Linked DNA regions of Saccharomyces cerevisiae S288C. The gene in region 3 interacts genetically with the main gene of each other region. Each region holds a gene or a part of one and is shown on either strand. Other genes may lie near its edges.

The links. A genetic interaction does not mean that the proteins touch.
Region 1: mutations in TMA108 (region 3) and ERR1 together harm fitness more than expected from each alone (negative genetic interaction), as found in Saccharomyces cerevisiae (2 studies listed by BioGRID).
Region 2: mutations in TMA108 (region 3) and PUF4 impair growth when combined (synthetic growth defect), as found in Saccharomyces cerevisiae (one study listed by BioGRID).

What each region holds. Positions count from the first base shown.
Region 1 is NC_001147.6:1,077,957-1,083,393, forward strand, and holds ERR1 (phosphopyruvate hydratase ERR1), read left to right. Parts: upstream 1-2,319; coding exon 2,320-3,633; downstream 3,634-5,437. Other genes in the region: HSP33 (glutathione-independent methylglyoxalase family protein), read right to left, coding at 589-1,302; seripauperin PAU21, read left to right, coding at 4,762-5,256.
Region 2 is NC_001139.9:463,896-470,611, forward strand, and holds PUF4 (Puf4p), read left to right. Parts: upstream 1-2,245; coding exon 2,246-4,912; downstream 4,913-6,716. Other genes in the region: KAP122 (Kap122p), read left to right, coding at 1-1,016; BIL2 (Bil2p), read right to left, coding at 1,148-1,540; drug-responsive transcription factor PDR1, read right to left, coding at 5,197-6,716. UniProt on the Saccharomyces cerevisiae protein: Is not essential for haploid growth, but may affect diploid formation.
Region 3 is NC_001141.2:86,978-96,103, reverse strand, and holds TMA108 (Tma108p), read left to right. Parts: upstream 1-3,315; coding exon 3,316-6,156; downstream 6,157-9,126. Other genes in the region: VHS2 (Vhs2p), read left to right, coding at 1-1,039; OM45 (Om45p), read right to left, coding at 1,304-2,485; tropomyosin TPM2, read left to right, coding at 6,389-6,874; REV7 (Rev7p), read left to right, coding at 7,388-8,125; AXL2 (Axl2p), read right to left, coding at 8,267-9,126. UniProt on the Saccharomyces cerevisiae protein: Putative zinc aminopeptidase which may be involved in ribosome biogenesis.

The sequences.
Region 1 (5,437 bases), on a different chromosome or scaffold from region 3:
TTTTTTTTTTTTTAATTCATTTTCAAGATTTTAGACGTTGTATAATACATTTTTACCCACTACTGCGGTTTATTGTAATATTTTGTGAGATTTTATGAATGCGTTCCATCATCTATTTACTACAAAACGATAAATTTCCCCGTTTTCTTTTACTTTTACTTCATTTAATATAATTCATATTTATTTCCCATGTACCAATTAATTACTCATAAAAAGAACAGAAATAGAAAAAAGTTGTATATAACAAGCCAAAAAAAAGAAAAAAAAAGGAAAAAAAAGAAAACACAGCTTATTTCAAATTGCAATCTGCGTATTTCGTAAGTAACGAATGATCTCACAGCATTGCTTTTTTTTTTTTTTATATATATATGTACATTACCTATGTCACATATGACCATGATGAATACAACACTAAAAACCAAGGCCTACTATTCAATTGTTCTCTATATGATTTCCATTCTAGCAAAATCGAGTGCTACCGACCTGCCGTTTTCTTTACCTTTCGAACCATTGAGCTGTTAGCCTTCTCTTCACAGAAACTGAAAGTCATTAAAAGCCTCCCCTTCAACAATTCCCTTGTCTTTTGTTTCAGCTATATAATGCGTTTATAGCTCTAATTGTGGTCGAATAGGAAGAATTTGCGTTAACACCCGTAACTAGCTTTCCATCTGTAATAGAGTAGTCATCCCAGGGATGGATTGGCGCCAAGTACTTGGCTCCATTCTTGTTTGCAACGCGTTCAACCGTTGTCAATTTTCTGCTCCTCAAGATGTCGTCAACTCCCAGGGCGATTTCACCCTCGAGTGGGAAACCTGTTATAGCTTTGCCTTCGATTAATGGTCTTGTTGTTTTGATATCTATTAATCCATCGAAAAGGAGCGGTCCATGACAGATGGCAGCGATCACACCCCCATTGGCATATATCTTGGATGCAATATCTTGCAGATTTTTAGCTTTGGGATAGTCAAATAGAGCACCATGTCCAGCAGATGCAAAGAATACTTTATAGTCGCTGGCGTTGACTTCATTTGCGGTCTTGATCCTCGCTAACGCCTTATTGAAGGCGGAATTTTTCGTTTCAAAGTTCATCTTATCTTCGCCACCAATAAAGCTCTTTGGCAAGTAATGTTCATCCCAGCCAAATCCACCAGTCTCAGAAACGAAGTCCACTTCGAAACCATGCTTTTCGAATGTATCGAACGATCGCAAAATCTCAACTACAAAAACGCCTGTTTTCGCACCATCTTTGTAGAAGGGACCGTGGTATGAAGTAAGAGATATTAGCGCTCTTTTTGGAGTCATTGCAAGGCCAGTTTTCTTTTTGAATGAAGGAGAAAAGTGTTCTAGAAATATGTTTTAGTTCTAAGTATCGTTGTCTGGAGCAAGCAAAGAAAAGCAGACCTGTATGTGCAACTTTCCTGTTTTCCATTAAAATCTCAAGAACCGACCCCTTGACTGTGCTCATATATCAAGTATCGGTTTTAAAGTCCCCTAATTGTGATAATTGCAAGAACGACAGTCAGAAAGATATTTTTTTTTTTCTTTCTCTTTACCTATCCTCCATAAAAATACCTATGCTGATACTGAATATCTTCATTTGCAGCTATGCAATATTTCAGATACCCCATTTTACCCAAGAGTTTCTTACTGGTGGTTGGATTTTCTTTAAGACGAGAAGATTACCAGTCCTGGATGTTCGTGAATGTGCCTATTGCGTCATCAGCGACTCCGCGCCAAGAAAAGAAATACTCGCATGCTCGGATTTATAGAATCGCATAATGGAAATACCTTCCTTAAAGGATGGAGATAAGGAAAAAATGACAAGAACAAGGAAGTACTTGGGAGCTTTCTCCGACATGGTAAATATTTGAAACTCACGCAGCTCTCCTGGAAAGTTGGATCTGGAAAGGTAAGGTTGTTTTTTTTACAGACATCAACCAAAATCGGTTCTTGTAGTAGACAATGTCACAGATCGCCACAAGTTGAAAAAAAAGTTTCGATGAACTGGATAAGGGGAGAGGTCACAAACAAAGTGTAGGGGGTGAGTAGTATAGTGGTAACTTGTTCATTTACCTAAATAACATTCTCACTAGAAAAGAGATATTGAAAGACTCCTCGTTTACCTAACTTGGCTGGTTCTTAGGTATATAATAGAAACATGGATCTGGCAGGTTATCACTTACAGTTTGCACTCCCACCAGGTTACAATTTTCATTATATATAGTTATTTTTTACCACCACTTCTTCTTCTTTCACTTTGTCTTGCAATAGAAATACCAAAACAAGGTGAGGAAAAAATCGAATCTCAACGATAAAAATATGTCCATCACGAAGGTACATGCTAGAACGGTGTATGATTCTCGCGGCAATCCGACTGTTGAGGTTGAAATTACAACAGAGAATGGTCTCTTCAGAGCGATCGTCCCATCTGGTGCCTCCACCGGCATTCACGAAGCTGTTGAACTTAGAGACGGGAACAAGTCCGAATGGATGGGAAAAGGGGTGACCAAGGCAGTCAGTAACGTCAATAGTATCATAGGGCCTGCTTTAATCAAGTCCGAATTATGTGTAACCAATCAGAAGGGCATAGACGAGCTCATGATATCGTTAGACGGAACTTCTAACAAGTCAAGGTTGGGCGCCAATGCTATCCTTGGTGTTTCCTTGTGCGTTGCTCGAGCTGCTGCCGCACAAAAGGGAATTACTCTCTACAAGTATATAGCCGAGTTAGCGGATGCTAGACAGGACCCCTTTGTTATTCCTGTTCCTTTTTTCAATGTTTTGAATGGTGGAGCCCACGCCGGTGGCTCTTTAGCTATGCAAGAATTCAAGATCGCGCCAGTCGGGGCTCAGAGCTTTGCAGAAGCCATGAGGATGGGTTCGGAAGTTTACCATCATTTGAAGATATTGGCGAAGGAGCAATATGGACCTTCCGCTGGAAATGTTGGTGACGAGGGTGGAGTTGCCCCCGATATTGACACTGCCGAAGACGCCTTGGACATGATTGTGGAAGCCATTAACATATGCGGTTACGAGGGTAGAGTGAAAGTAGGAATCGATAGTGCTCCTTCTGTTTTTTATAAGGACGGGAAATACGACCTAAATTTCAAGGAACCGAACTCTGACCCATCTCACTGGCTCAGTCCAGCCCAGTTAGCAGAATATTACCATTCATTGCTAAAGAAATACCCAATCATTTCCCTGGAAGATCCCTACGCCGAAGATGATTGGTCCTCGTGGTCTGCCTTCCTAAAGACTGTCAATGTTCAGATTATTGCAGATGACCTGACATGCACCAACAAGACCAGGATCGCCCGTGCTATAGAGGAGAAATGTGCGAATACTCTGTTGCTGAAACTCAACCAGATCGGTACTCTGACTGAGTCTATTGAAGCCGCCAATCAGGCTTTCGATGCTGGATGGGGTGTAATGATATCGCATAGATCAGGTGAAACCGAAGATCCGTTTATCGCTGATTTGGTCGTTGGTTTAAGATGTGGTCAAATTAAATCGGGCGCTTTGTCGAGATCAGAAAGACTGGCCAAGTATAATGAACTTTTGCGTATCGAAGAGGAACTGGGGGACGATTGTATATATGCTGGTCATAGGTTTCATGATGGAAACAAACTATAAAGGATTGTCTTGTTTCCTTTTTTTTTTTTTTTTTTTTGTTTTTTTATGACTAAATAAAGTAAATCATATGAGGTTTTATTTTTTATTTCGTTGATTTGGGTTACAGTATGGAAATGGGGCATTTGACACAAGTTATTTTATTCATATGTTTTATCTTGTAGGAAATCAAACCGTTTTTAAAGTTTTCCATTGCCTACACACAAAATCATTACGAATCTGTCTGAACAAGGGTGGACGTGTGGGGGAAGGCTGTTCCAATCAAGAAATGCTTACAACTCTACTAACACTGCAGTTTTTCAGCTTTCTGATTAATCTCTTCGGTTTAAATTTTTTAGCAGCTATTACTTTCTAGTAACCCTTATAACGCGGTTGGTATCAAATCTTCCTGATAGTACAAGCAGACCTTTGACCCCATTCTTGTTGTGTCTTGAAATCTTTTTTTCTGACAAAAGTAAGAAGTTACACCATAATAGAGAAGTTAAATAATGAAAGTGTATCGATCATAGAAATGATTTTATTTTTTTCAACTACTGTTACGGTCAAGAAACTAATACTGAGGATAAGTTTTCGCAACAATGATTTTGGTACAAGTGATTTAAAGTCTTGAATTACTTCAACACAATTTGCTTTGCGACGGTTTAGAATAACGTAATCGTATCAACGAATCCACTAGGCGCGCGTAAAAATTACAGACTCTAACAATATACGACTCCCAGCACATACCTACTATTCTGTACAATTCCGGGAAATAGGAGGGTACAGTATTATTTTTTCTCGGCGATCGTTTAGGGTATACTGGAGATAGGCTTAGCAATACGCTTCTGAACGAGGATCTATAGCAACTAAATTCAGACATTCTGCTATACCAAAAAAGGAAGTATCACAGGCACGGAAAAGGGTTTTATAAGGCACCTCGGCACCCCTATAACTGGCATTCTCACATTCGGCGCATACGAATAGACAAAGGCCCCAGAAAACAATACCTTCGCATACAGAATCTATAAAGATGCATGCCTCGTTTAAAAACAAAAACATCTTCATAGTGATCATGAAGTTGTGGGAAAGATGAGATATGGAGAATATGTGAAGTGCTAAAGGAGCATCTGTTAACGAATCGTTTAAGTGGTGATGACCAATGAAGGAATAGGTATAAATAGAGATACTTCAACTATATGCCTTCGAGAATATGTCTTTATTCATTTCTTTCCTGTTAAGCTTATATCAGCACTAACAAACAAAACAAATACAATGGTCAAATTAACTTCAATCGCTGCTGGTGTTGCCGCTATCGCTGCCGGTGTTGCCGCTGCTCCAGCCACTACCACTCTATCTCCATCTGACGAAAGAGTCAACTTGGTCGAATTGGGTGTTTACGTCTCCGATATCAGAGCTCATTTGGCTCAATACTACTTGTTTCAAGCAGCTCATCCAACAGAGACCTACCCAGTTGAGATTGCTGAAGCTGTTTTCAACTATGGTGACTTCACCACCATGTTGACTGGTATTCCAGCTGAACAAGTCACCAGAGTCATCACTGGTGTCCCATGGTACTCTACCAGATTGAGACCGGCTATCTCCAGTGCTCTATCTAAGGACGGTATCTACACTGCTATTCCAAAATAGAGAGAAGCTTTTACGAACGAAATTCCATAGACATTAAAAAGTAAAGAAAATGAAATAAAATATGTTATTCTATTGATATAAATACAATTTCTCATATGTAAATGTATATTAATATGACAACTCATTTTTGATCAATAACAGTGTTTGTGGAGTATTTTCTCAATACAATAAACCCAAAATA
Region 2 (6,716 bases), on a different chromosome or scaffold from region 3:
CTTCATCGGTACAGTTACAAGAACAACAAGATTATATTAATTGTCTATTATACTGTATATCTGAGCTAGCAACAAGTTTGATCCAACCTACTGAAATCATCGAAAATGATGCATTACTACAAAGGTTATCTGAGTTTCAAAGTTTCTGGTCCAGCGATCCCTTACAAATCCGATCGAAAATTATGTGCACCATTGATAAGGTCTTGGATAATTCAATATATTGTAAAAACTCCGCCTTTGTGGAGATCGGTTGTTTGATTGTTGGTAAAGGATTAAATCTGCCCGACGGGGAACCGTACTTCCTCAAGTACAATATGTCTGAAGTTATGAATTTTGTTTTGCGGCATGTCCCCAACTGTGAGCTTGCTACTTGCTTGCCTTATTTTGTTTATTTATTAGAAAAGCTTATTTCAGAGTTCAGGAAGGAACTAACACCACAAGAATTTGATTTCATGTTTGAAAAGATCCTTCTAGTCTATTATGATGCATATATTATCAATGATCCGGACCTTTTACAAATGACAATAGGTTTTGTTAATAACGTTTTGGACGTGAAGCCAGGCTTAGCTATTGGCAGTAAACATTGGACATCATTTATTTTACCTCAATTTTTAAAATTAATACCTTCAAGAGAAAAGTTCACAATTGTTGCGGTGGCAAAATTTTGGACTAAGTTGATCAATAATAAGAAATACAACCAAGAAGAACTCACAACTGTTAGGCAACAAGTTTCCTCTATAGGAGGAGACCTTGTGTACCAAATTATGTATGGCTTATTCCACACACAAAGGTCCGATCTGAATAGTTACACAGATCTGCTAAGAGCTTTGGTAGCCAAGTTTCCAATTGAAGCAAGAGAGTGGCTCGTTGCTGTTTTGCCCCAAATATGTAACAATCCTGCAGGTCATGAAAAATTTATTAATAAATTACTTATTACGAGAGGAAGCAGAGCAGCTGGAAATGTTATTTTGCAGTGGTGGTTGGATTGTACCACACTTCCAAATTACCAAGGATGATTTGTTAAGAATTTCTCCGCTGAGGGTGAAGGCTATTCTTTGTTACATTTTATTTAGTAATGCGTTGATCCTTTTTGATAGATTTTTTTTTTGTGCTTTAAAGATAGTAGCAGTATATATGTGTGTAAAAGCTAATCATCAGAAGTGCAGCATTCATTGCTAGTATTTAGTGATAAAAATTTTAGAATTTCCATTTCTAATTGTAATTGCTTTTCATTCCAATACATGTTTGAGCTTCTGGGGGGTAAAAATACATTTCCAGACAGGGCGTCAGGTTGAAAGCAGTTACTGAAACATAGAGAGTCGACGTCAGGAGGAGGCTTCAAATGGTTTTCTGAAAGTGATTCGGTCTTATTTTTCCATTTTCTAAAATGGTGAATCCTTTCTCTGGAAATGTGTGATCCCTTTGCCTTTTGTGAAAACTTTTTTAACGAGCTTTTTAGGTTATTAGTTGTCTCAAGAAGGTTTATGGGCCCGCTGGTCTCGATATCTGCGTAATTTAATGGACGTATCGTGTCTTCCATGGAGTGAATTGTGATTTGTGAATTATATCTGTCCAATACCGTTGCCTTGTTGGGAGCTCAGATAGAAAAGACATCTTAATTCCAGACAGTCTATTCTCTGTCTATTTCTCTTTGTGACTGCAAATTTTAATTTGTGACGCCTTTTCTTATTACTCATGTATTTGTCACTCTTGACGATTGTTTTTTTTCTATATTTTTTTTGTTCTGGGGTCCTCCAGAGAATAAAAAATAATGATCAATATAGTAGATAGTATAGTTATATTCTTATTCGTTGCACCTTGTTTAACAAATCACTCAGACTCAAAGAGAATATCGGTTGGTTATCTCTCTCCGAAGGTGAACAGCAAACAGTACCTCACGTCTTTTTTTTGAATAGTTTTTTTTTTTGTTGAAACAGAAAAAAAACTTTCTTCCGTATATTACATTGTACATTATTTTTATTGTATTTTAGTTTCCAACGTTAGGATTTGAGCCGTCATTAATATTATTCGTTTTTGTACACTATTCCAGACGATTTATTTTTAGTACACTTAAAATTCCTGTTGATATTGTCCACTAGTTCTCTTTTCATATTTTATTTTCGCTTATTCTTTAGGTTCTTTTAAGAGTCTCTGTTCATTTTCCGTTCTTACTGTTTCTTTGTCCTCGATATCTTTTAAGAAAGAGAGAACTAAGCGCTGTAACATTTTTAAGTGGACCTACGTTATGTCTACAAAAGGTTTGAAAGAAGAAATCGATGATGTACCATCAGTAGACCCTGTCGTTTCAGAAACAGTCAATTCTGCTTTAGAGCAGTTGCAACTAGATGATCCAGAGGAAAACGCCACCTCTAATGCATTTGCGAATAAAGTTTCTCAAGATTCTCAATTCGCTAATGGCCCTCCGTCGCAAATGTTTCCACATCCACAAATGATGGGTGGAATGGGCTTCATGCCCTACTCTCAAATGATGCAGGTTCCTCATAATCCTTGTCCATTTTTTCCGCCCCCTGATTTTAATGATCCAACAGCACCATTGAGTAGCTCGCCCTTGAATGCAGGCGGTCCACCAATGTTATTCAAGAATGACTCACTTCCATTTCAAATGCTGTCTTCGGGTGCTGCGGTAGCAACTCAAGGTGGACAAAATCTAAACCCATTGATAAATGACAATTCAATGAAGGTATTGCCAATCGCATCGGCTGATCCGTTATGGACTCATTCAAACGTACCAGGATCAGCATCTGTAGCCATTGAAGAAACCACCGCTACTCTACAAGAAAGCCTACCATCTAAGGGCAGGGAGTCTAATAATAAGGCTAGTTCGTTCAGAAGACAAACTTTTCATGCTTTATCACCAACTGACCTTATCAATGCGGCCAACAATGTAACCTTGTCAAAGGACTTCCAATCTGACATGCAGAATTTTTCTAAGGCTAAGAAACCGTCTGTAGGAGCTAACAATACTGCAAAAACCAGAACTCAATCCATATCTTTTGATAATACTCCCTCCTCAACGTCATTTATACCCCCAACCAATAGTGTTTCTGAGAAATTATCCGATTTCAAAATAGAAACCTCGAAGGAGGATTTGATTAATAAAACTGCACCAGCTAAAAAAGAGAGTCCTACAACTTATGGTGCAGCATATCCATATGGGGGACCTTTACTTCAACCAAATCCTATTATGCCAGGCCACCCACATAATATATCCTCCCCTATCTATGGTATTAGATCACCTTTTCCTAATTCTTATGAAATGGGCGCGCAATTTCAACCTTTCTCTCCGATTTTAAATCCTACGAGTCATTCACTAAATGCAAATTCTCCAATTCCTCTAACCCAATCGCCAATTCATCTTGCACCAGTTTTAAACCCTAGTTCAAATTCTGTTGCCTTTTCAGATATGAAGAATGATGGTGGTAAGCCCACCACCGATAACGACAAGGCGGGTCCAAATGTTAGGATGGATTTAATAAATCCTAATCTTGGGCCATCAATGCAACCTTTCCACATATTACCTCCCCAGCAAAACACCCCCCCTCCTCCCTGGCTTTATAGCACTCCACCTCCCTTCAACGCAATGGTTCCGCCTCATTTGTTGGCTCAAAATCATATGCCGTTAATGAATAGCGCCAATAATAAACATCATGGTCGTAATAACAATAGCATGTCAAGTCATAATGACAATGACAACATTGGTAATTCTAATTACAACAATAAAGACACAGGTCGTTCTAACGTTGGTAAAATGAAAAATATGAAAAACAGTTATCATGGCTACTATAATAACAATAATAATAATAATAATAATAACAATAATAATAATAACAGTAATGCTACCAACAGCAACAGCGCGGAAAAACAACGTAAAATTGAGGAGTCGTCGAGATTTGCGGACGCAGTTTTAGACCAATATATCGGAAGTATTCACTCATTGTGTAAAGACCAACATGGTTGTCGTTTTCTGCAAAAGCAGTTGGATATTCTCGGCAGTAAGGCGGCGGACGCAATTTTTGAAGAAACTAAGGATTATACGGTTGAATTGATGACTGATTCATTCGGTAATTATTTGATCCAGAAGCTATTGGAAGAGGTTACCACAGAACAAAGAATCGTACTCACAAAAATATCTTCCCCTCATTTTGTCGAAATTTCCTTAAACCCTCATGGTACTAGGGCATTACAAAAACTCATTGAATGCATCAAAACAGATGAAGAAGCACAGATTGTTGTTGATTCTTTACGCCCTTATACTGTCCAGTTGAGTAAGGATTTAAATGGTAATCATGTTATTCAAAAATGTTTGCAAAGGTTGAAGCCTGAAAACTTCCAGTTTATCTTTGACGCAATCTCTGATAGCTGTATTGATATTGCTACTCATAGACACGGGTGTTGCGTTTTGCAACGTTGTCTAGATCATGGGACTACAGAACAATGTGACAATCTGTGTGATAAGTTGCTAGCCCTTGTTGATAAATTAACTTTGGATCCATTTGGCAACTATGTGGTGCAATATATAATTACCAAAGAGGCTGAGAAGAACAAATATGATTATACGCATAAAATTGTCCACCTGTTGAAACCAAGAGCCATCGAACTTTCTATCCATAAATTTGGATCAAATGTGATTGAAAAAATCTTGAAGACAGCTATTGTTTCGGAGCCAATGATTCTGGAAATTTTAAATAATGGTGGCGAGACGGGTATTCAATCATTGTTGAATGATAGCTACGGAAATTACGTTTTACAGACAGCATTAGACATTTCTCATAAGCAAAATGACTATCTCTATAAAAGACTATCAGAGATTGTGGCGCCTTTACTGGTGGGCCCCATAAGAAATACACCTCATGGTAAAAGAATCATCGGAATGTTACATTTAGATTCATAGTTGATACATATATCCTCAGTTTAGCTTTTTTTACGTTAGCCTCATATAATATCTTTTGTACAATACTAAAATACATCATTTTTTTTTTCGTTGAGGATCAAATGAATATCCAAAGCAAAAAAAATAGGAATTTTCACTTTATGGTATACTGGTAAATAGTGTTGAAGAAATAAGAGAAGGAGATGCCCTAGAAAACAGAATGTTCTTATTTAAATAAGTAAACTCAAAAGAAAAAAAAAAGGAAGGAAGTTTTTGAGAACTTTTATCTATACAAACGTATACGTTTAACTATCTGGATAAACGTCGCTCCACAGGATACTGTAGAGGTCCTCAAGATCACCGTTATTAACAAATTCATCTAGTGTCCCCAAATTAAAACTAGTTGCAGAAAAATTGTTACTGTTGTTGTTGTTAATATTGTTAATATTGTTTTTATTGTTGTTGTTGTTGTTGTTGTTGTTATTGATTTCATTTGTGTTCATAAATGGTACTTGTACTGAAGTGGGTATTTGCTGCTGAGCATTGATTGGTTTATTAGATTGGACTTGCGTATTATTTTGCCCATTTGTTGGTTGCGCGTAATCGGGATTGATCATATCAGACACGGATAATGACCTAAATGAAGGCAATTGTGCAAACTCCGGTAGTGAGTTGTTTCTCACTGGGGAAGGTGCTGAGCGACCATTGAATGGCAATTGAGGCGATTCAATGCCATTTAGTAAGCATGAAGTGCCCGTCTTAAGACTTGGGAGATCCGGATTCAAATTTTTTCCCGAATTATGCTTCATCTGCTTATTATCTTCATTTGACATTAGTGGTTCCTGAAACTTTCTATTTTTCAACATTTGTGAGACCGTTAAATGGAATCCTGACTTCTGAACAGGTTCTAATAAAAATCGATAAGCGCAAGAGTTTGTATCCAAGACAAGTTCTATTATACCTTTTAAATCTGGCGCATTCTCATCAATATATTTGGAGATAACATCGAGGTTGGTGCTAGAGGACTCTCCGTATGCCAAAAGCATGATACGAGTGACGATTGTCAGGAAAGAAAAAGCTCTTGTATAGTCTTTAAAGCTTTGGCTGTTGAAGACATGCTCATTGGTCTCATTTTCGGAAAAAATTTTTATATCCAAAAATCTTTTGAAGACTCTAATCATATTCACAACGTCATTTACTTTAATGAATTCGGCCACTGAGAATGCTTGTGATACCAAAATAATGCAACTGATAGAATAATGGGCGAACGAACGGTATACGGAATAATCGTTGTCAAAGTCTAATAAGATTTTGTTCATATCGGTCCATGATTTGTAAATCTTGTGAAGGTATATTTTCAAGTTTTCAATTAGTATTGAGGGCCTTCTGTGCACGCATAATCTGGCGACAATATTATCAGATTCGTTAACCATTCTGCAGAAATGGTGCTCGTAAAATAGAACAAATTTTGAAGCCATAATCTTATCCTCTCTTGAAACTTTGAGTTCAGTACTATCTTTAGAGAATGCAATATCGAACAATTTTCCAGTTTGCTCTTTGATAGCATCATATTTCATTTCTGTTTCGTTAAAAATCTCGAGTACCTCGAAGAGTAGTTTCTCTCTAACAACAGATGGTTTTGATGTATTCCTAATTGACGTGAATTTTTCATTGAATAAAACAGATGATGAGAAATGGCTGACTATTTGTAAGACAGCTAATTCGCCATAGTATTTTAAGTCGGATATGCACATGTTGTCAAAAGCTTCGCTCCTGCGAACTAAGTGGACGTTCTCGATAAAATCTCTATTATCCAAGAACCCAA
Region 3 (9,126 bases):
TCTACATTTGCAACCTTCTAGGACTAATGAGTCAATAGCATCGTACCAGACATACAATCCGGATTTTGTTGTGCAGACTCCACTGGATCACCGTCGTACCTTAGAGAATTTCGTCCCTCCTGCATTAGACGCTGGCTGTTCTATTGTAACTGACGACACGACTGGCCTTGATGACGTTGATATGGTTTATTCGAGAAGGCCATCTACCATCGGCCTGGATAGAGCCCTAGGTAGGACAAGAAGTCTTTCGTCACAATCTTTTGATAACGAAACGTCGCCTGCGCATCCAAGATCTCCCAACGACCATGGTTCAAGACTACTAAGGTTTTATTCCTACGCTGACATGTTGTCCGATGACAACAATAACAACGTTAGTAATGCGACATCAACATCATCAACTGCGAACCCCTTGAGAAGACCCCCAATGCAAGGTCACTACTCGTTCTCGTCGTCCCTTTTGAATTCTCCTTCTCATTTGCCTTCCCCCCCATCAGCTTCGGCATCACCACCTCAGCATATGAACTTCACCAACCCTTTCATCATATCTAGACGTTACTCTAACACAACGATCAACAATGCCAATGGGGGAACCAGCGCTGGAAGCACTACGGGGGCCGCACTATCAAGATCGCCATCGAACCAACAGTACTTACTTAAACAACAAAGGTCACCTTCAGGGAGCGCCCGTTCAAGAAGAAACAGCAATAGGCCCGGCAGTGCTGCCAACATTATGATCGGGAAACCTAAATCCAAATTCCATATGGAATCCAGTGGCAGTGAAGGGTTTTCTTCCGAAGAGGAGGACAACACTATGATTGAAAGAGATAAACTCAATCTAAAGCAAAAATTGCAGTCACAACTGGCACAACCACCATCAATTGCCAACATGGTTAACGATAATCACAATAATACTAATAAACACAAGAATACTATTAATAATAACATCAAAAATAGCCCTGCGTTCACAAACTCGAATCCAAGTTCAAAATCAAATTCAAACTCTACAATAACCTCTATGAATCCAGACACAACCAAATAAAGAAAACTGAAGGGCCGCGATTGTTCATTTCTTCAACCTTCTTCTCCTACTCTAAAAATTCATTTAAGTCTCTTTTTTCCATATATATAGATATATAACGGTATTTTATGTATGCACGTATACCCCAATAATGCCACTAATTTACTCCGTTTTCCAATCCATAATCAGCAAAGACCATATGTGATTTCAAATATAAAAAATGAGAAACATGTGAATATGTATATATGTTATGCGGGAACCAACCCTTTACAATTAGCTATCTAACTAGTCCTTTTTCGAGCTCCAGAATTTACCATCACCCTTATCATTCCATTCTTTGAATTTGTTCTTGGCTTCATCGTACTTTTTCAACGCTTCATCGTACTTCTTTTGGGCCTCATCTTTTAAAGCCTGCTTGTCATTGTCGACCTTGGAAGTCCATCCAGACCACCAGTGGCTGCCGTACTGTTTCAAGTCCTCCTTCGCCTTAGATAACGAGTCCATGGCATCGGACACGTTCTTATCCAGTTGTTTCTTTGAATTCTCATAATTCCATCTTAAATCGTCCATTTCGTCCTTGGAAAGTTGAGCGGCTGTTTCACCCCATCCTTCTAAACCTCTGGCTACCCGTTCAGCAATCTGTTGCTCGCTTTGCTCCCCTTTGTTGTAACCAAACCAGCCCTTTTCCTTGATCTTCTTCAGCTCGTCAAGACGTTTTTGCGCCTCGCTTGGCTCTGAAGAAGCATTTCTCTTGGCTTCCTCCAACTCTTCTCTACCAAACTCCTGTGCCGTATCACCCCAGCCTTGGACACTTCTTGCAGCGGCTTCTTCAGTATTAGCGTCACCCGTGTTATTCTTCAACAGGCGTTTCAAAGGATTACTGTTCCTTTCCTGTTGGTCTAGCTTGTCCGAAAGCTCATTAAAGTCTCTGGCTCTCCCGTACCTTTCGTACTCAATGGATGCTCTGTCCAGAGCGGCCTTCTTCTCTCTCATCACCGTGGACAAGAGCTCCTTCTCATTACGATCCACTGCCTCTTCGAAACGCTTCTTAGCAGTATCAAATTCCCCGATGGCTATGGCTTTCCTTCTTTCAGCCTCACTAAACCCCCAATTGAAGATGCTTTGCGAGGAAGAATCCTTGGCTTTTTGGCCTAGCTGCTTGCGTGTCTGAGCATCCTCTTCCGGTGATATCACACGCTTAGTTACCTTTGGAGCCTCTTCCCTAGCCTTTTGAGATACGCCCAGAAGCGCGTCTTTTAACGACAAGGCATCTTCCTTTATGCCTTGCTTTATGTTATGTAGCTTTCCCAACTGTGGGGGTGCTGAACTGCCGTACTCCTGGCCGTTGTAGTAAGCGGAGACGTTGCCCTCTCTTCTCTGACCCTTGGCCTTCTGTTCTCTGACCATGATGCTAGCTGTGATGGCAGCTGCCAATGCTGCACTGCCGACAATTATTCTTGATGACATCCTTATCTGCTTGTTTTATTAAATGATTAACGTTACTGGCCAATCAAAAATACCCTTTATTTCAAGAAAGGGCAAAGAAGCAGGACTTTAGCAAGAACCGTTTCCCCTTATATATACTCCTCTTCAAGGAACTCGACAAAATAAGGGTCAACAAACTCCTCCCTTAACCCACACGGGCCACCGGCGAGCTTGTGCTCCTGCGAATAGCAGTACACTATTGGTTGTTGCAAATCCTGACGATTCACTTTCAAACACCATGCAGGCAGGAGAGTCAAACAAGACTGTTTGCTGTGTTATTGTCACCGCTGATGGTTGTGATGACCACCGCTTACCTATGACGAGGGGCAACGTCTTCACATTTCATGTTTACCACCAATATGCCAATTATTTTAAGAAATCTGCATAACAGAAGGACGCCAGCTGGCCATAGCATTTATAGATTCCTGCATTAATGTAACCGTCCGCACACCGTATGTATCAGCTTGTCAATTATTATATGAAATGTATATATATTTACGAACTTCAATTTTGTCAACATATTTCTGGAACAAGACTGGCTGGAACGGCTCAGCACACACAGGACAGAATATCAAAATTCTCGAGTACTTTGAGAACCCCCTTCAAGTGAGGTACCACCCTTGGTTGTAGTCTTGTATATTAATCCTTCTTTTCTTTAGTATAAATCGATCCTTTCTATTATACAATTCGCCGGTAATTTTTCAGTGAAAAACGAGTTTTGCAGTCAAACCATTCCTGGATGTGCTATACAAAAAAAAGGTCCGAAGACGTGTAAAGGATATATAACGCCAGGTTGATCATCACTAACCATCATGTCTGATAATTTGTTATCTTTAGAGAATCCGGTGGTGCCTAGTCACTATGAGTTGCGTCTAGAAATTGACCCTAAGCAGTCGTCGCCCAATTTCAAAGGATCCGCCATAATCCATTTGAAATTCAATCCGAACTCCACCACCTTAGCTTCTATCGAAGACAGTTTTACCCAGTTCAAGTTACATTCCAAGGATTTGATTGTGTTGTCTGCACATGCCACCATAGGGTCTACTAAGTTTGATCTAAAAATTTCTCAGGACACTGGAAAGCATTTGTCGATTTTCAACTCTGAATCTCCTATTCAATTGTCCAACGATTGCCCTCTGATTTTGTCCGTGCAATACGTGGGTAAAATTCGTGACATAAAAACACATCATGATAAGACTTTTGGTATTTTCAAAACCAATTTTATGGATCGTAAAACCGGTACTGCCAATAATCACGTCGTTGCTACTCACTGCCAACCGTTTTCCGCTAGCAATATTTTCCCATGTATTGACGAGCCTTCAAACAAGTCCACTTTTCAATTGAACATTGCAACGGATGCACAATATAAAGCCGTTTCCAATACTCCTGTAGAGATGGTCGAAGCTTTGGATAGTTCTCAAAAACATTTGGTGAAATTTGCCAAGACACCTTTGATGACTACTTCCGTATTTGGTTTTTCTATTGGTGATTTAGAATTTTTGAAAACGGAAATCAAGTTGGAAGGTGATAGGACTATTCCCGTTTCAATTTATGCACCTTGGGATATTGCTAATGCAGCTTTCACTTTAGATACAGTCCAGAAATATCTACCTTTGTTGGAATCCTATTTTAAATGTCCATACCCTCTGCCAAAGTTAGATTTCGTCCTACTACCATATTTAAGTGACATGGCAATGGAGAACTTTGGTATGATCACCATCCAACTAAACCACCTGCTCATACCACCAAATGCCTTGGCCAATGAAACCGTCAGAGAGCAAGCACAGCAACTCATTGTCCACGAACTCGTTCATCAATGGATGGGCAACTACATATCTTTTGACTCGTGGGAATCTCTTTGGTTTAATGAGTCTTTCGCTACTTGGTTAGCTTGCCACATACTAGAACAGAATGGTGACCTATCCCATTATTGGACCTCGGAACCTTATTTACTACAGCAAGTGGAGCCGACCATGTGCAGAGATGCAGCTGACGTTAATGGAAGAAGCATATTTCAGATTGCGCAACGGAACACTGGCATAGATTCTCAAACCTCCGATATTTTTGATCCTGAGGCATACACAAAGGGTATTATCATGCTGAGGTCCCTGCAATTGGCTACAGGCGAATCTCATCTACAAAAGGGCCTGGAAAGTGTATTTGAAGATACTAAAACATTTCATGCGAGAAGCGTCAAACCAATGGATATATGGAATCATATCGGAAAATTTTTGAAGTCTCAAAATATTACAAACTTTGTTTCATCTTGGACAAGAACGCCAGGCTTACCTGTCGTTAAGGTCGAAGTAGAAGAGAAAGACGGGAAAACGCAAACAAAATTGACTCAACACAGATTTATCAATCAATTATCTACTGAAGAAAAGGATCAGTTAGAAGATGTCCCATATCAGGTACCCTTATTCGGGGTTCTGCCAGATGGTAAAATGGATACTAAAAATGTACTATTGACGGATAGGACCTTAAAGTTCGATTATCCTATCTTAGTAATTAACCATTTAGCCCAAGGTTATTACCGCGTTTCATATGAGTCCGAAGAGTGCTATGCATTGATTAATGATAAAATAACTGAGGAGACGTTATCCGAGATTGACCTTCGGAAGATTTTCTTAGACTTGTCGCAGTTTATTGGAGATGAGGGTTTCCAGAATTCTATTCATTTGCACGGTCTCTTTAAGATACTAAACCATATCGCTTCTCCTTCCACAAAGATTGCATCAAAATATTGGGATCCTCTTTCCAAGGGGTTGGAAGTTCTGCAAACGATCGATCGTGCCAGTTTAACGAGCTCTAAATTACAATCTTTCTTAAAGAAAAAAATTGTCATTCCCCTTTTCAATAAGATTGATTGGCCCCACGGTGAATTTGATAAAAGCACAAACCCTCACGAGTTGAAAGTCATGTCTCAAGTCTTGTTTTTAAATAAAAACTCCGCAAAATGTGCTGAATTGTGTCAAATTTATTTTAAACATCTATTACAGGGCCCACGTTCGAGCGTACCGTTAGAATTAGTGAACTCAATCCTTGTCGTCGTATCGCAACATTGTGCAAACATCAAGCAGTGGAAGAAAATATTCGATTTGGTGAAACGCAGTTCCTGTACTGGTATCACAAACCATGTCATTAATATGTATGACCAAAACAGTAGCGAAACCGCCATGTTGATTCAAAACGGTGCAATAGAATCTCTTGGATTCTGTTTAGATTCTGATATCGTGAAAAAAACTTTGAATTTTATCACTTCCAATATTGAGTCAGAGGGGATGGAACTGGCATTATTCGGATTTAATTACAACTTTAAGAAGAGGCTGAACAAAAACGAGAAACCTCAAGACCAAGTCGTTCGTGAAACGATCTGGGAGTGGTATATGGGCAATTTTGACCAATGGGCACGGAAGGCTACAAGGAAAGGTACCACCACGGGGGATCATCTACACAAGGCGTTAAGGAGTATTTCCCTGATAATCTTTCAAATGTTTGTAGCAGACGAGCCACAGAAGATAGAAAAGTTTATTAATTTGGAGAAAGAGAAGTTGGGTCAAAGCTTGTTATCTTTGGACGACATCTGGGCCTCTGTCCAGCAAGATGAAGAGTCCAGAAAGACTATAAGAAGAGACTTGGCCTCCTTGGTCTGATTTTTTACAAGTATTTCAACACACTATCGTACGTAGATTTAGTAGTCTTCTAAAATAGTACTATAAACGATGTTCTCTTAGCAGAATTCGAGTTATTATTGTCATATACTACGAAAAACCTGTAGATTCAACAATAATAGGTTGGTATAAAAGAATGTAAACATAAGGAATATTAATCTAGTAATTTTTTTCTCATGAGGTTGAGAAAGCATCTAAAATAGCAATTAGCAAAATGGAGAAGATCAAAGAGAAATTGAATAGCTTAAAATTAGAATCTGAGTCATGGCAAGAAAAATATGAGGAGCTGAGAGAACAGCTCAAAGAATTAGAGCAATCTAACACTGAAAAAGAAAACGAGATTAAATCTTTGTCCGCTAAAAACGAGCAACTCGACAGTGAAGTGGAGAAGTTAGAGAGTCAATTGTCTGATACAAAGCAATTGGCTGAAGACTCCAATAACTTGAGATCTAATAATGAGAACTACACCAAGAAAAACCAGGATCTAGAACAACAGCTAGAAGACAGTGAAGCCAAACTGAAGGAAGCAATGGATAAACTGAAAGAGGCCGATTTGAACTCTGAGCAAATGGGTAGAAGGATCGTTGCTTTGGAAGAAGAAAGAGATGAATGGGAAAAGAAGTGCGAAGAATTCCAAAGCAAATATGAAGAAGCTCAAAAAGAATTGGACGAAATTGCTAATTCATTGGAAAATTTATGATTCCCATTGATAAGACTAAAATTACGGAAGATACAAACGACAAACGCGCTAAAGGCAACGGAGGTGATGATTTTATTATTGCTCACACAACTGATGTTGCTGACAGATGGCAAATCCTTTTCATTTTAGTTATTATCATTGGGTGCTTTTTGGAAAAAAGATGAACTAAGCCTCTCTTTATTTCGTCCATTTTATTCTAGCTTTTACATTATGCTTTCACCTTTACCAAAAAATAGTATGTATTTCTTTTCCCCTTGCTATAAATCAAAAGTACGTAGAAACATAAACAGGCGAGAAATACATATGCATATACGTCTACACTACTAATTTAATTTCCACTTTCTTAATATCAGTCAATCGAAACCACTAGCTTTCACACTAAGACTAGACCCTGTTTAACTAATATAAACTTTTCCAGAAAGCTAAAAAAAAGGTCGGAAAAAGAAGGTATACGTTTTTGCGACGACTGAGATCCAAGAAGAAAAAAAAAATAGTAATCGTTGCGTCAGCTTTATGAATAGATGGGTAGAGAAGTGGCTGAGGGTATACTTAAAATGCTACATTAATTTGATTTTATTTTATAGAAATGTATACCCACCTCAGTCATTCGACTACACTACTTACCAGTCATTCAACTTGCCGCAGTTCGTTCCCATTAATAGGCATCCTGCTTTAATTGACTATATAGAAGAACTTATACTGGATGTTCTTTCTAAATTAACGCACGTTTACAGATTTTCCATCTGCATTATTAATAAAAAGAACGATTTATGCATTGAAAAATACGTTTTAGATTTTAGTGAATTACAACATGTGGATAAAGACGATCAGATCATTACGGAAACTGAAGTGTTCGACGAATTCCGATCTTCCTTAAATAGTTTGATTATGCATTTGGAGAAATTACCTAAAGTCAACGATGACACAATAACATTTGAAGCAGTTATTAATGCGATCGAATTGGAACTAGGACATAAGTTGGACAGAAACAGGAGGGTCGATAGTTTGGAGGAAAAAGCAGAAATTGAAAGGGATTCAAACTGGGTTAAATGTCAAGAAGATGAAAATTTACCAGACAATAATGGTTTTCAACCTCCTAAAATAAAACTCACTTCTTTAGTCGGTTCTGACGTGGGGCCTTTGATTATTCATCAGTTTAGTGAAAAATTAATCAGCGGTGACGACAAAATTTTGAATGGAGTGTATTCTCAATATGAAGAGGGCGAGAGCATTTTTGGATCTTTGTTTTAAGTGCAAAAATGAAATTTGAAGAATGGAATTAAAATTAAATGTCTCTAAGTATAAAAACTAAATAAAATATAGGGTATCTGTAAACCACTAATAAAAAATAAAACAGGAAAATAAAATTAAGCAAAATATCGTTGCGTATAATCACAGCATTTCTGGGATGCGTCCGTGAATGTCCTTAACTTGACCAACATTGACATTACTCTTATTTGAAAAATCTACTAACCTTTTCTTACTTGGTCTTCTGTCTGGTTCCATGCTATGGACCCAGCAAAAATTTTCACCATCTTTAACCGGAACAAAATCGTCAGAAGATGAAGTTGACATTGTTGTGGGAGTGATTCCGTTTTTACCGCTTTGAGAGTCTTGAATATTTTGTAAGTGGCGGTTACGATGCTTCGTTACGTTATATGGTGATGGTGTTACTGATTTTCTTACGGGAGAAGGGCTAATATTGCTGTTCCAAGGGTCCAGTGAAGACATAGTGACATCCCTTGACGTACGTTTTTCCTTCTCTGGTGCTTCTAAATCGAAAAGTTTTTCTGTATCAACAGTTTTTTGTGATCCGTAACTGTCTCTGACAATATCAGAGACTGGTGACAGGTTGCCAGTATATCGCCAGGATTTATTTACTGCTGGTTCACTATCCATATACACAGAAGAAGACCTATTCTGTGGGTCAAAGAACGGGCTCTCTGGAGGCTGTACTGGGGGTTTTGCTAATAATTCTTCTTTACTTTGGGATTGGAACTGATCATTGTATGTATTCATACCTGATAGAGAATCTCTCTTTTCATCCACGCTGGAAATATCAGATTCAGTGGCAGAGTGGTTATCCAATTTCAAAGTGTTCAAAGCAGCCAATCTTCTTGCTATTGAAGTATCATCGTACGAGGAAGCATCATCATCAAAGGGGTTGTTCAAAGGTGTAGCGTTTTCTTGATTTGGTTTATTTGCAGGATTATTCAAATCAGGTCCACTAATAGCATGCGGTAAGTTTTCAT